Linked DNA regions of Drosophila melanogaster. The protein of the gene in region 1 purifies or fractionates together with the protein of each later gene. This does not show direct contact. Each region holds a gene or a part of one and is shown in the gene's direction. Other genes may lie near its edges. The genes, in order: CalpA and sol.

Region 1 (7,504 bases):
AACACATCATCCGGTAGATGCAAGAATACTCACCGGTACTTTTAGTATTCTTTTAAATTCGTTGATCCTCCAGTGGCCGCTAACACAGGCACAGGTCACAAATACAACGGTCACACTCACTGTATGTGTTAGAGGAGAAACGCACGCGTTTTTTATAAATGTATTCTCGCTCTCGCACCTCGGTTTTTGGTTTTCAGCCGCTAATTCGTACAAACACACATACGCCACAGAGGGAGACTATCAATAAAAGGGGAGGGAGAGGGTAGAAAATTTTAATAGATTTAACTTTTTATTGCCTTGAATGCAATATGTTTAAAATAAATAATTTTGTTCTCTTTTGGGCTTCTTGCACTACACCAAATAACTGTTAATATTTTTTTTTTTGCAAAATTGCCGCTCCTAACAGCACTTAGCACTTTTAATTCTTTGAATTAAATTTTAGTTGCACCGCAGCGAATAAATATTTCAAGTTGAATTGCCTACGAGAACTTAATCCAAAATCGTACGGACACGTCCGACGGGCAGAGCACGAATGAAGCGCAAAAGAGAACTGCGCACGGACAGTGGCAAAGAAGCCGAGAGAGAGAGGGCGGGCAGTGTTAGGCAACGTCAAGTGGAGATGTTGAAAACAACTAAACTGAAGTAACTTCCAGACAAACTGGCTTCCAAACGGGGTTAACTAAATTCGGTAAACAATCGAAAAGCATTAGTTTGCCTTGCAAATCACTCAAATTGCGCAAAAGTGTTCAAGAGAATACGAGAAGAGAGCGAAGGAAAGTGGGAGAGAGAAAGAGAGTTCTTCATCCTGCAACGCCCAAATATACACGCTTGTGTGTGTGCGAGAGAGTGTATGGGGAGGAACGAATATTTGGAGCAAAGCGCAGGGGAAAATAGCGGTGCAAGTCCTTTTTGCCACCTTGACCACAAACAAAAAACGCCTTTTTTGGCGCTCTCTTCGCACTTTTAGGTATTCTTCGCACAAAAACTATGTCAATTAAGCCGCACACGTCGATTATGTCATATTATTTATACGAATACACTTTCACACACAAGCGCCGCGCCATATACACACATTCGTGTCCGTGCGTGTGTGTGTATGAACGGCGTCGCATTCTCGTCACCGGCAATGCCGTGAAAAAATCGATGGTCAATTTGCTGTACGGGTGTATTCGCCTCTATTTTCTCGTTTCATTTAATAAAGTCTATCACTAATTTTAGAAGCCCACTAATTGGTCAATGGGTTCGATAAAACCACTGCTTACAATTTGTAAATGCTGAACTTCACGAAATTTCGCCCGCGTGATGTGTTTCGTTTTCGATATTTCGTACTACGATTTTGTTAGGGATGGACAAACCTGACGCATGTCAATGGGTCGATATTTGTTTGAAATATCGATGCTCTTATCGAAATATTTTTCAGTAAAATCGGGCGATTATCGATATATTTACATTGAAATAGGGCTGGCAAATCACAAATTTCGGCAAAATACTTCGATAAAAATAAATACCAAAACATTCGATAGCAGTCAGGTGTTGAGCTACAGATATAAATATTTGTAGTGAGTAAATATCTCCGTGCGGTGAAGGTGCGTGGTTCCGTTACTTTATTGTTGTGCTGTGATTTTGGGGAGTGAAAGTGCGTGATTCGATTCGGAAATCGTTCTCTCGACCAATCAAGGTCCGTTGGAAAATGGGCAAATATATATAGTATTAGAAATATCAAGTGCCTATGACGAATATACTATTCTTTACGAAAATATGGTGGTCACGGGAATGAGCCAGGCCAGAAGAATGCATTAATTACCAAACCTGTTTGGGTTTCGCCGTAGAATTACCAATGTTCGCAAATACAATAACAGATGGGTCAGCCAATCTAGCATATTTCGCCCCAATTAAAGGCCAATTTACTATTGTCACAGAAATATATACCCTATATGTGTCGTACATATGTAGTAGTTCCATGGGTCAATGTCAATATCCCGGCTTAATATGGATAAAAAACGAAGCTTAATCTCCCGAATGGCGCACACCCTTTGAGTCACTAGAGAATCTCATGCTTCCGAATGATGTCACACAATATAGCATATATATATAGCGGCTACATATGTATAAATACAGCATTGTATATGTAGAAACATTTGAATTATATTTGGGTGCGAACCGAGACATTCTTGTCTCCAAAGTATAATTTCAGTTTGCGTGAATTAAAGTAATTTCATTTAGCCCGACTTCCAGTCACACTGGGAATACTAACGATTCTGTAATGCTCGTTAAACCATATTTATGTCTCTGGGTGTGCTTTTAATTCCACCGCGAGGCTTATAAGTAAATATGGGCGATATAAAAAATATTGGATGTTGCTAACTAGTCATCAAATGTTTGAACAATAAATATTTATTAATGGGTTTTTAATCTGAGGCGGCACCTTACACTGCTAACTGATATTAAACTATATATGTACATATATTTTCAGATATCTGCACGATGGACGACTTGAGGGGATTCTTGAGGCAAGCGGGACAGGAGTTCCTCAATGCAGCTGGTGAGGCTGCAATGGGAGCGGCCAAGGATGTGGTCGGATCGGTGATCAACGAGATCTTCATCAAGAAGGAGGCCGACACCAAGAGGGTTCTGCCCAGCATCAAGAATATGAGAGTTGTAAGTTGACCCACACGGTTATCAACAGTTATTTATAGGGCGCTATACTATACTAAACAAACATAGAAAACAATCCATTGAAATCTACATATGCATGTTAACAAATACATATACATTCCACTCATTAGCAACCATTGCAATCTCAAAGTAATAGTACGTTGTACTATGGGAACGTAAGTACCTACTCCCGTCATCGTAATGGCATTGACATAATTCCATTCCAAGGATAATGCGCTGCCAAAGTGTCGTACTGTGTTGTCCTTGTGTTCTTTTTCTTTCGCATGTAAAGTGTAAAACGCATCATCGTTTATACAACTCCATTACACAACTTTATCGTGTACATACATAATACTCTTAATCAAGTTCATCAATTTTGTTAGATTCATATCACTAATAGCATGTATTTTTTAGCTGGGAGAGAAGAGCTCGAGCCTGGGACCCTATTCCGAGGTGCAGGACTATGAGACAATATTGAACAGCTGCCTGGCCAGTGGTTCCCTTTTCGAAGATCCACTTTTTCCGGCTTCGAACGAGTCTCTTCAGTTTTCCCGGCGTCCAGATCGTCACATCGAATGGCTGAGACCTCATGTAAGTTTTAGATACTACCATATTACCCGTAACTAAAGGTATAAATGCTTTAATTATAAAGGAAATTGCCGAGAATCCCCAGTTTTTTGTGGAGGGTTATTCGCGTTTTGATGTTCAGCAAGGCGAGCTTGGTGACTGGTAAGAACAAAATCTCTATTTCCGCAGCCAGAATAATTAATAGTTTTAAATAAATGCTTACATTTACAGTTGGCTCTTGGCTGCCACAGCCAATTTAACTCAGGAATCCAACCTTTTCTTTCGGGTAATTCCAGCGGAACAGAGTTTCGAGGAGAACTATGCTGGTATCTTCCATTTCCGCTTTTGGCAGTATGGTAAATTATTTATTAAAAAAATTATTCATGCGCTTCTTACAATTTTAGTTTAAAATTTTAAGGTAAATGGGTTGATGTAATCATTGATGACCGTTTGCCCACTTATAATGGAGAGCTGATGTACATGCACTCCACGGAGAAGAACGAGTTCTGGAGCGCCCTGCTGGAGAAGGCTTATGCCAAGTAGGACTACATTATTCACATACTTTATGGTCAACTGATGTATATATGCTTTCTAGACTTCATGGATCCTACGAGGCACTAAAGGGAGGCAGCACTTGCGAGGCCATGGAGGACTTTACTGGCGGCGTATCCGAGTGGTACGATTTAAAAGAAGCACCCGGCAATCTATTCACCATTCTGCAAAAAGCAGCTGAACGCAATTCCATGATGGGATGCTCGATTGAGCCTGATCCAAATGTCACGGAGGCAGAAACTCCTCAGGGCTTAATCCGTGGTCACGCTTACTCCATAACCAAGGTTTGTTCGGAAAATTGCTATGATAAGAACATTTTATTAATTAATCTTATGTCAACAGGTTTGCCTTATTGACATAGTAACGCCAAATCGTCAGGGAAAGATCCCTATGATAAGAATGCGAAATCCTTGGGGCAATGAAGCCGAGTGGAATGGACCATGGAGTGATAGCTCACCAGAATGGCGCTATATACCCGAGGAACAGAAGGCGGAGATTGGACTAACATTCGACAGAGACGGAGAGTTCTGGATGTCCTTCCAAGATTTTCTTAACCACTTCGATCGCGTGGAGGTAGGACTATTAATATTTCTTGGTGAAATATTTCATGATTCATTCGCCATGATTTTGTTCAGATTTGCAATTTGTCGCCGGACTCACTGACCGAGGACCAACAAAACAGTGGCAAGCGAAAGTGGGAGATGTCCATGTATGAGGGAGAATGGACACCCGGTGTTACAGCTGGTGGTTGCCGCAATTTCCTGGATACCTTCTGGCACAACCCCCAGTATATTATCACCCTAGTCGATCCTGATGAGGAAGACGAAGAGGGACAGTGCACCGTCATCGTGGCCTTAATGCAAAAGAATCGCAGATCGAAGCGCAATATGGGAATGGAGTGTCTGACCATTGGTTTCGCTATCTATAGCCTTAATGATCGCGAACTGGAAAACCGTCCCCAGGGTCTGAACTTTTTCAGATACAAGTCTTCTGTGGGAAGATCGCCGCACTTTATCAACACCCGCGAAGTACGTATACGGATATATCCAGGATATGGCTGCAATCACTTAACATATGCGTTTCTTATTTAGGTGTGTGCTCGCTTCAAATTGCCTCCTGGTCACTACCTGATTGTGCCTTCAACTTTCGATCCAAACGAGGAGGGAGAGTTCATCATTCGAGTGTTCTCAGAAACTCAAAATAACATGGAGTGCGTACAAGTAGACAATGACAATGAGTTTGTATATTAGAAATAATGAGGGGTTTCTATAACTAAAAGCTTCTTACGTGCAATATGTGGTATGTTGTGACTATAGTATTCTTTAATCTCTAGTGCTAGTAAATGTTTGACTAGATTTGTTTCTTTACCCTCTACACATTCCTGACAGATAAGTTGGTTATGCCATTTTTTAATCACTCCTCTTATATATATTTTTACCTGAGATTAACGCCTGCAGTATTCCAGAAACTCGAAATATATTTCTTCTAGATAAATTCAAATGTAATGTCGGTCTGTCTGTTACATGTTAAGAATAATTCTGATCAATATGAAGTTCAATTTTCTTAATTTATCAGTTATAAAAAGGGTGGCGGCAGCAACATAGTGAAATCTATTAACAAAGTTAAATTTTTCGGTTTATTTTTAACCCTTGTTTAAATTGTATTTTTGTCATGTAACGAGATATTTATTAAAGTAATAATAAAGGAAACTTCCACAACAATATACTTTTAAAAATGGACCCCAACAAATTAAGCTCATCTTGAAAATCTGCTTCTCAATACTCATTAGGCCATTCGAAATCCTTGTACTGTAAATTGTATTGTATTCCATTTGTTTCTCTATAAACGAATTGTTTTCCATTCATTTCAATATCAATCATTTCGCTTTTCACTCCCATCTAGAGAGAATGATGATCATGTGGGTTATGGCGGCAAAGCCGATACGGTAAGTTAACTGTGGTCAATGGGATCGGGATCGCTTATTCAGAAATTTCGCTTTAAAGATTACGCCAGGATTCCCAACACCCAAGCCCATCGATCCTCAGAAGGAGGGCTTGCGACGCCTCTTCGACAGCATTGCCGGCAAGGACATGGAGGTGGATTGGATGGAATTGAAACGCATTTTGGACCATTCGATGAGGGACGGTAAGGCTCGAGATTAAAAACTACTCAAATGGCTTTTCAAACAACGATTTCCTTTCAGATTTACCCAAACCAGTGGTTTTCAACCGTTTCTCCAATAACATGGCCTTTGAGACCCAGGCTGCTGGCCCTGGTGACGATGGAGCTGGCGCTTGTGGACTTTTATCCTTGATTTGTGGACCGTTTTTGAAGGGTACGCCATTCGAGGAGCAGTTGGGAATGAATGATCAGTCGAACAAGAGGCTGATAGGGGACAATCCGGCGGATGGAGGTCCTGTAACAGCAAATGGTAAGATGATATATATACGCTTTTAAAAAAGACTAGAATACAAAGAAATTTTTACAGCAATTGTGGATGAGACTCATGGCTTTTCCAAGGATGTTTGCCGCTCCATGGTTGCCATGTTGGATGCTGATAAGTCTGGAAAGCTGGGATTCGAGGAGTTCGAGACTTTGCTCTCGGAAATTGCCAAATGGAAGGCCATATTTAAGGTCTATGATGTTGAGAATACGGGCAGGGTATCCGGATTCCAGCTTCGCGAAGCTCTTAACTCTGCTGGCTATCATCTAAACAATCGTGTTCTAAATGTTTTGGGCCATCGATATGGTTCTCGTGATGGCAAAATAGCCTTCGATGATTTTATCATGTGCGCTGTTAAAATCAAGACATATATTGGTAATGTGAATGTGGTTCTAATTTATAAAAGTGAAAATTCTATGGTAAACTTTTCTTGTAGATATATTCAAGGAGCGCGACACCGAGAAGAACGAAACAGCCACCTTTACGTTGGAGGAGTGGATAGAGCGCACAATATATTCGTAAAGGATATAAATCTAAGCTAGCAAATCAACTCGAACAAATATTTACATGGAATCTCTTAATGGCTATATCCAATATTTTTCTTTATATAGTACAAAACAAACTTCACTTCCGAAAAAGATTTCATCCAATATAATCACGTCATTGTTTGTATGTCGATGGGTGTTGTTACCGAATTTAATGACTTGTTGACCCAATAAAAAGATTTATTACATTTGCATTTGTAACGTGAGCCGATGTTAACTTATTAAAGAATTCCATACCCCGTATTTTCTAAGATGTTTATTTATGGGGACGATTAAAAAATGTTCCTTCTTTGGATTCAACGAATAACTGAAAAAAAGAAACAACGCTTTTTGTTTAGTTAATCTTTTTATTTTTTGTGATTGAACCTTGCACCAAAATAATTAGCTTCGAGTAAAGCCTATAATGGTAAACTATAAATCACAATATAAATGTCTTAAAACACACCCGAATTGATGATGAATTTAATTTTTAGTTGTATTAGATCGAGTAGATTATCTATAAATTACTATTACTAGCCATCTTCAATCAAAAACGTGTCTTTGTTTCTTAAATTATTTTGACTACATGACGATGTGAGAATGCGGCCGGCCGAGTTGGGGTCTCGTCAAACTTTTTAGTGAGTAAGTATGTTCAAAGCTATGTATATTCCGTACGTAAATAAGCGAATTATCCGCTGAATAGTTCGTGGGATATACATATTCTGATATATATTAAGTATTTACAGTAGTTAGATCGTTAAGT
Region 2 (6,305 bases), on another chromosome or scaffold:
CGGCCGTACGGGCTGCTCATTAGCGCCTTTAGATCTCCGTGTAGGTGATCGTAAATTGCCTTCTTGGTCGCCTTAGTGTCGTCCAGTGCGTTTAGCAGCGAGATGAGGAACACGTGGCCGTGCTCATGGTTGGCGATCTTTAGCAGGTGCTCCTTGATATTCTTGATAATGGCCTGAAGAAGGGGTTAGAATACATATAAGATTCTGTTTCATCAACACACGTTATACGTGATCCACTTACTCTGCGATTCTTGGGCGTCGACTTGTAGAAGCATATAACAGCCGCCTCGCTGCCCTCCTTGGTGGACAGCATGTGAGGCACTAGAGCCGCAAACGCAGTGACCGTCTCCTCCAGCTTCTCCTCATCTTCGTCGCAGGCGCGCAGGTACTCCAGCATCACGGCGTGCACCAGCGCACTGTCCACCAGCTGCTTGTTGGCCACATGATCCAGGTTTGCTTTAACCGACCCCAAAATGGAGGCCTTCATGTTCGTGGCCTCCTTATAGGTGTCGCTCAGAGTCTTCACATTCGAATCCTTGGCCTTCCGGTACAGATCGCCGTAGAACTCCTGGCGCATATAGATGCGCTGATTGGGTGTGGCGCTCTGATACATCGAATCCAGCAGCCCACTGCCGATGCTGTGTCCGGCCAAACGCACTATATGTCCGTACAGGCTGTCCACCAGCTTGGCTTTGGTGGCTGGCGCACCGTACTTGAGCATCCGTTGCACGCAGAACTGGGCGTATTTCGACTGGCACATCTCCACGGTGAAGGGAAGCAGCTTCTCAGAGATCTCGGCCCGCAGAGCTGGCGACGCGTACTTTAGCATGCTCTGGATCACGCGGGCGGTGTCGTGGGCCTTCACCACCTTTGAAATAGTGTCGCCCACGTTGAGCACCTTGTATATCTGCTCCACCAGCTTGTCCTTGTTCTCCGTTCGGCGGCTGCAAGACAAGCACCAAATTATGTTGATATATATATATCAGAGCAATAGGATTTGCGCATTCATTAGTTGTAATTTTACGAAAAAAAAAAAAAACGCGACAGAGGATAGAGCTGGTTTGTTTATGACCAAACAAAACAGCATGCGCTAAATAGGCGTCTTTGGAATCTACGCTCTTGGTTCTAACTCAACATTTATACAGAAATACAAGGCTATATTAACTTAGTTTTGATACTGATCAAAATGCTTAACTAGCTATTATTGTTTCAAGAACATGAATAAAATGTTTGGTGTTTTTGAATTCGAACCAAGTGGCAATGTTCGGTTTTTCCACGAACAGGTGCTTCGTTTTGGGATCCACATGGCCATGTTTATCGATATCTTGTCCTTTAAGGAACCAAAATGACTTATAATTATTAAAACTATATCGTATAGATTGATGCCTTATGAAATTTAAACAACTTTGTACGTTCTGAATGTACATAAGTGCATGAAAGAGCCCGATTTTGTTGAGCTATCATAATTTGTATAGGTAATTTGAGCGCTAAGGATGATAATAACCGATTGTTTGGGCTGTTCATCGTGTTTTTGGGGATGCTCACCATCGCAACTTCTCGTGGATCTGGTTGGCCTCCTTGCTGATCTCGTAGGTGTCCTTGGCACTCTTGCGCTTCAGCTTGAGGTCCTTCTTCTCCTTCTTGAACTTGTTCCAGTCCTGTTTCTCGCCCTCCGCCGGCGCCTGTGGCTGTGTTTGTGGTTTTCCGCGGAACTTGTTGCCACCAAGCCTCTTGTCGCCGGTGGCTCCGGATTTGTCAAACTTCTTGAAGCCACCGGGCCCAGACTTGTCGAACTTCTTGGCACCACCAGCGCCTGGCTTTACAAACGACTTGCCTGCTCCTCCGCCGAATTTGTCGAACTTCCTGGCGCCTCCTGCTCCACCGGGCTTAAACTTCTGTCCGTTGGCGCGCTTGCCGGACGATTCATGGGCCTTGAGGGGCGAGGCCGTGTTGGCCACGTTAGCAGGTCCTTTCGGCTCCGAGCTAACCATCTTTGCTGCGTTTTCTTGGACACTACAACTAAATAACAGCAAATGTTTTTGCCAAAAAAGCGAACTACACGTGCTGCTGATGCAGAGTGACCAGATTGTTGCAGTATACCCAAGCTGTGTAAATACCAAAATCTGGTATTTTCGTTCCACATACAGTAAGTATCAATGAAGTGCTTCTATTTGTTTAAAATTTAACTCAAGTTAATGCGTTCAGTTCAATTTGACTTTCCATTTGAAAGCGGCTAAAAAATAATAATCCATGTCTAAATATTAAATTTAAACTCTTCCTAAACTAAGCTCCTCAATGTTGATTACTTGTTATAGAAGGTCAAATAATTTTATGCATGTATTTGCGTCGTTTTATGAATATATGTATGTATTCATTCCCAAAAACATATTAGAATTGGTCTAAAAATTGAAGGTACCGATTTTTCATTAACGGCACTTGCCAACACTGGCTTTGCGGGGTAGCAGCCGTGTTTCTCGCGCTGGCAACCCTGTCCGGCAGAGTTCACGCACTCGGGCAACCTTGTCGTTGGAGGTGTTCGCGAACGTCGACAACCCTAGCGGCAACAGTTAAAAAATGGTGTGAAACGGCGACGGAGAACGCGGCGTGCAACTGTTGGAAGCCACTGCTTGGTCCTCGTTTTGGTCCCGGGTTCTGGTCCTCCTATTGATCTCCATCTCCGCCCGGCCACCAGCTCGAAAGCGCACCTACACATCATAGTTTCCATAGACAGTCCCAGTTCCACATCCACTCCCCCGCCAGCCAGCCAACAACAACAAAAACAACAACAGCAAGAGAAACAACTCAGAAGTCGAAAGGAATCTGGGAACTCCTGCGACTCCCCCGCGCAATGGGCACCATCTCATCCGTGCTGCAGTGGTCGTGCACCAAATGTAACACTATCAATCCCACGGAGTCGCTCAAGTGCTTCAATTGCGGCACCGTCCGCAAGGTGTTCCCCCAACAACAGCAGCAGCAGCATCGCAGCAGCAGCATCACCGCCTCCTGGACAGCTGATGATGCACTGGAGCAGGAGCAGGCGGAGAAGGGGCAGGAGAGGGACAAGGAGAAGGGCAGGGCGGCGGTTGCCAGGTAAGCGAAGCGGTCGCCACAAAAACAAACAGCCTGTATGCCTCCTCTGCGAGGATGTGCCTGTGTGTGTCTGTGTCTGTATGCGTGTGTGTGTGTGTGTATGTGGGCGCCAGTGGTGGCATCCAATTGGAGGACAAAAGCGCTAGCTAAAATCATGTCGCATATGGTAATGTGTATAGAAATCGGTGGCGTTTTCAAATCCAACTTTTTTCGCACACACATTGTATGCACACTTTGGAAAATATACAAATACACAAATATGTACATACTTTCATCGGTAAAATTCGTCAATCAAAAACCTTAACTTTCAAAGAATAATAATACCAAAAGCTTACCAACGTAAGCTCCTATGCTGAACTTTAATATCCAAAGAGCAGACCGAGTAAATCTTAGTAAATTTTATAGTTCTCACTAACCCTTTTGTGCATAATGAAACTTAAAGAATAAGAAAACAATGAAATCGGTTAGGAAAATCCTGATTAACTATCCATAGGAATAACTCGAATGGGAGTATAGGAATAAGTTGAAAGATTTTTATATTACGAACTTAAGTTTCGAAAGGCTAGGAAAAGGTACAGTGTGTACAAGTACACAGTTCAAAAGTCTAGCTTTAAAAGCCAAGCCGTCGGCACTGGTGATTGTCCCTGAGCGTGTGTGTGTGTGTGTGTGTGTGTGTGCGCGAGTGTGTGTATGTGAGAGCATGTATACACAGCAGAGGCAGAAGCAACAACAAAACAGCCGAGGAGCAGCGAGAATTGGGGAAAATCGATTTGGATAAAGAAGCATTGTTTACAAGTTTATCGATTCGCGAACTCGCTCGGCGATCTGAAGAGCAAAAGAGGTGTAGGAACAACTTCCGAGTCGAGCGGACGAGCGGAGAGTAGGAAAATGGCCAGTCATTGAGATAACCTTTGCGGTCAGGAAGTGGGGAAAGCCCAAACAGCTCAAGAACACCGAATCCCATCCAAACCCGACGAAAAACGAAAAACCCCATTTCCCTATTTTGCAGGAGCGAGTACAAGCATGTGTACAAGTCCCTGCTGCGCGGATGCTTGAAAAGACCACAGCGGAACAGCCAGAATCTGCCCGCCAACTGCGTGGATTGCGAGGACACGCGCAAGTACATCAAGAGCTCTATTGAGCTGTACCGCCACTTCTCGAATCCGGCCCTGAATCGGCGGTGGGTGTGCCACGCCTGCGGCACGGACAACAGCTCGGTCACCTGGCACTGCCTCATCTGCGACACGGTCAGCTATCTGGCGCCCATTTACAAGGACGCCATCGCCGCCGACCGAGGCCAGGATCTGGCTGGCAGCCTGGGCAATCGCGGCGAGCTGCTGGCGGCGGACCATTCACATCCACATCATCATCACCACTACCTCCACCAGGAACTGGAGGAGCAGCATCAGCATCAGTTACATTCCCAGCACTTGCATAAGCGCCACCTCAAAGGTAGATCTGCATCCGGATCGGGATCCGGACCGGGCTCGGGTTCTGGACTGCGCCGCACCCAGAGCCTGAGCACCGCTATCGACAAGAGCGCTTCCGGGCGCAGCTGCCACATTTGCTATGCGAACAACCAGAGCAAGGACATCTTCAATCTGCCGCAGATCAAGCCGGCGCCGCAGCTGACAGGTGCGTTCATCAGCTAACGAACTAATGAAAGGTTAAAGGTTACTTGAGGAAATAACTATAAGGTATTCTTATTGGCCAGCCTATCGTTTCCAAATTTTTACTAGAAGAAACTCTTTAAATGGACAACCGAATTATTTAAAGTCTATTCTCTTTTTGTAAAGTTCTTAATCTTAGTCAGATCATGATGAAAGTGTTAGCTTCCCATAACCGGAATGCACGCACTTGTTATCCGATAATCCAATTCTAATCCCTATGTGTTTCTCGCAGGGATTCCCCCCGTGGCCGCCTGCAGCAACTCCCGTTTTGCCATCGCCAACGACACTTTTTGCAGGCGCAAACAGAACAACAATAACAAGAACCAGAATCACAAGGTGGTTCGCGAGAGCGGTGCCAAGCGGAAGTACAACTTTACCATCACCACGCTCTCTCGGTCGGCGGCCAAGGATGCCGGCCATGGCCAAATGAAGCCACTGCGTCAGGTCGTTAATCTAAATCTGAATCTACAGCAGGAGCCGCAGCAGAAGTCACCGGCTAATCCGCAGCAGCTGCAGCGGAAAACCCAGCGGGAGCCAGCAGCAGTGAGTATGAATCCCACGCAGTTCACCATTCCGCGGAACGGCGTCTTCATAGCCGTCAACGAGTGGTCGGAGCCAATGGCCAGCAGCTCCTCCGTCTCCTCTAGCTCCAACCATCATCATCACCATCACAGCAACAGCAATAGCAATAGCAGCGGTAACAGCAACATCATCAACAACAACAGCAGCAGCTCCAGCGGCAGCAACAAGTTGTATGAGAACGAATGCGTGGCCCTGGCCCAGCAGCAACTAAGAGCAGCTGCTGCGCAGGCGGCACAGGCAGCCGCGACGGCGGTGGCCATTGCGAGTTCGCCATCAGCTAAGGCTATGGCCGAACCAGCTCCAACGGCTACCATGCCCATCTATGCGCAGGTGAACAAGCAGCACAAGCTCAAGAAGAAGCAACAGATTGCCAGCGAATCGCAAACGAACAACAACACTGGCAGTGGCGAGATCGCGGATGCGGTCAGTGAATCCCTTACCGCCGGACTAGGCACTAGCACCGATGGCAGCGGCGAGGCCAGCGAATCCGAGTCGCAGGTGGAGGAGCACTCCATCTACGCCAAAGTGTGGAAGGGACCGCGCAAGGCGACCGAGTCGAAAATGTAATTGGCAGCTAGCGTGCGACCGAGATTAGTCCACACCCATCCAACTTCCTATCCCCCGCAGAAGCTTATCAGTTGGCTACGTTTTTATTTTTGCTGATAATTTGCGTGGCGCTTAGTCACTGCGGCCTTCTGTTTGTATTTCGCCCGTCCACCAGCTTTTATTTTTATTCTGCCCGCTATAAGTTCAGTTGTATTATTTAAGCAAATTGTTTATGGGCATGATTTAAATTAATGATTGGCTTGCCACAAGATTGTCACAACTTGGTTGAGGTAATTAATTCATTCGCAATCGTGCTGATCTCGGCTATGACAATCTGTGGTTCAAGTGTTCAATTTAATTACATTTTGATTTCGCCTATCTCCCGTGTTGAATCAATTTTGAACTTGACTGCATTAC

The links.
Region 2: the proteins of CalpA (region 1) and sol purify together in Drosophila melanogaster (affinity purification with western blotting, with the first as the bait; one study listed by BioGRID). This does not show direct contact.

Annotation. Positions count from the first base shown.
Region 1 is NT_033778.4:19,423,561-19,431,064, forward strand, and holds CalpA (Calpain-A), read left to right. Parts: upstream 1-1,552; 5' UTR 1,553-1,678; intron 1,679-2,473; 5' UTR 2,474-2,484; coding exon 2,485-2,658; intron 2,659-2,786; coding exon 2,787-2,831; intron 2,832-3,069; coding exon 3,070-3,246; intron 3,247-3,307; coding exon 3,308-3,384; intron 3,385-3,453; coding exon 3,454-3,578; intron 3,579-3,640; coding exon 3,641-3,761; intron 3,762-3,817; coding exon 3,818-4,058; intron 4,059-4,116; coding exon 4,117-4,347; intron 4,348-4,409; coding exon 4,410-4,802; intron 4,803-4,865; coding exon 4,866-4,984; coding exon of another isoform or gene 4,985-5,024; exon of another isoform or gene 5,025-5,490; intron 5,491-5,676; coding exon 5,677-5,719; intron 5,720-5,777; coding exon 5,778-5,919; intron 5,920-5,977; coding exon 5,978-6,205; intron 6,206-6,262; coding exon 6,263-6,592; intron 6,593-6,653; coding exon 6,654-6,739; 3' UTR 6,740-7,004; downstream 7,005-7,504. UniProt on the Drosophila melanogaster protein: Calcium-regulated non-lysosomal thiol-protease. Involved in the organization of the actin-related cytoskeleton during embryogenesis.
Region 2 is NC_004354.4:21,347,761-21,354,065, forward strand, and holds the start of sol (small optic lobes), read left to right. Parts: upstream 1-2,519; 5' UTR 2,520-2,848; coding exon 2,849-3,090; intron 3,091-3,874; exon of another isoform or gene 3,875-4,001; coding exon of another isoform or gene 4,002-4,006; intron 4,007-4,099; coding exon 4,100-4,725; intron 4,726-4,992; coding exon 4,993-5,905; intron 5,906-6,305. Other genes in the region: peng (penguin), read right to left, coding at 1-173, 242-944, 1,546-1,991. UniProt on the Drosophila melanogaster protein: Has a role in eye development. Calcium-regulated non-lysosomal thiol-protease.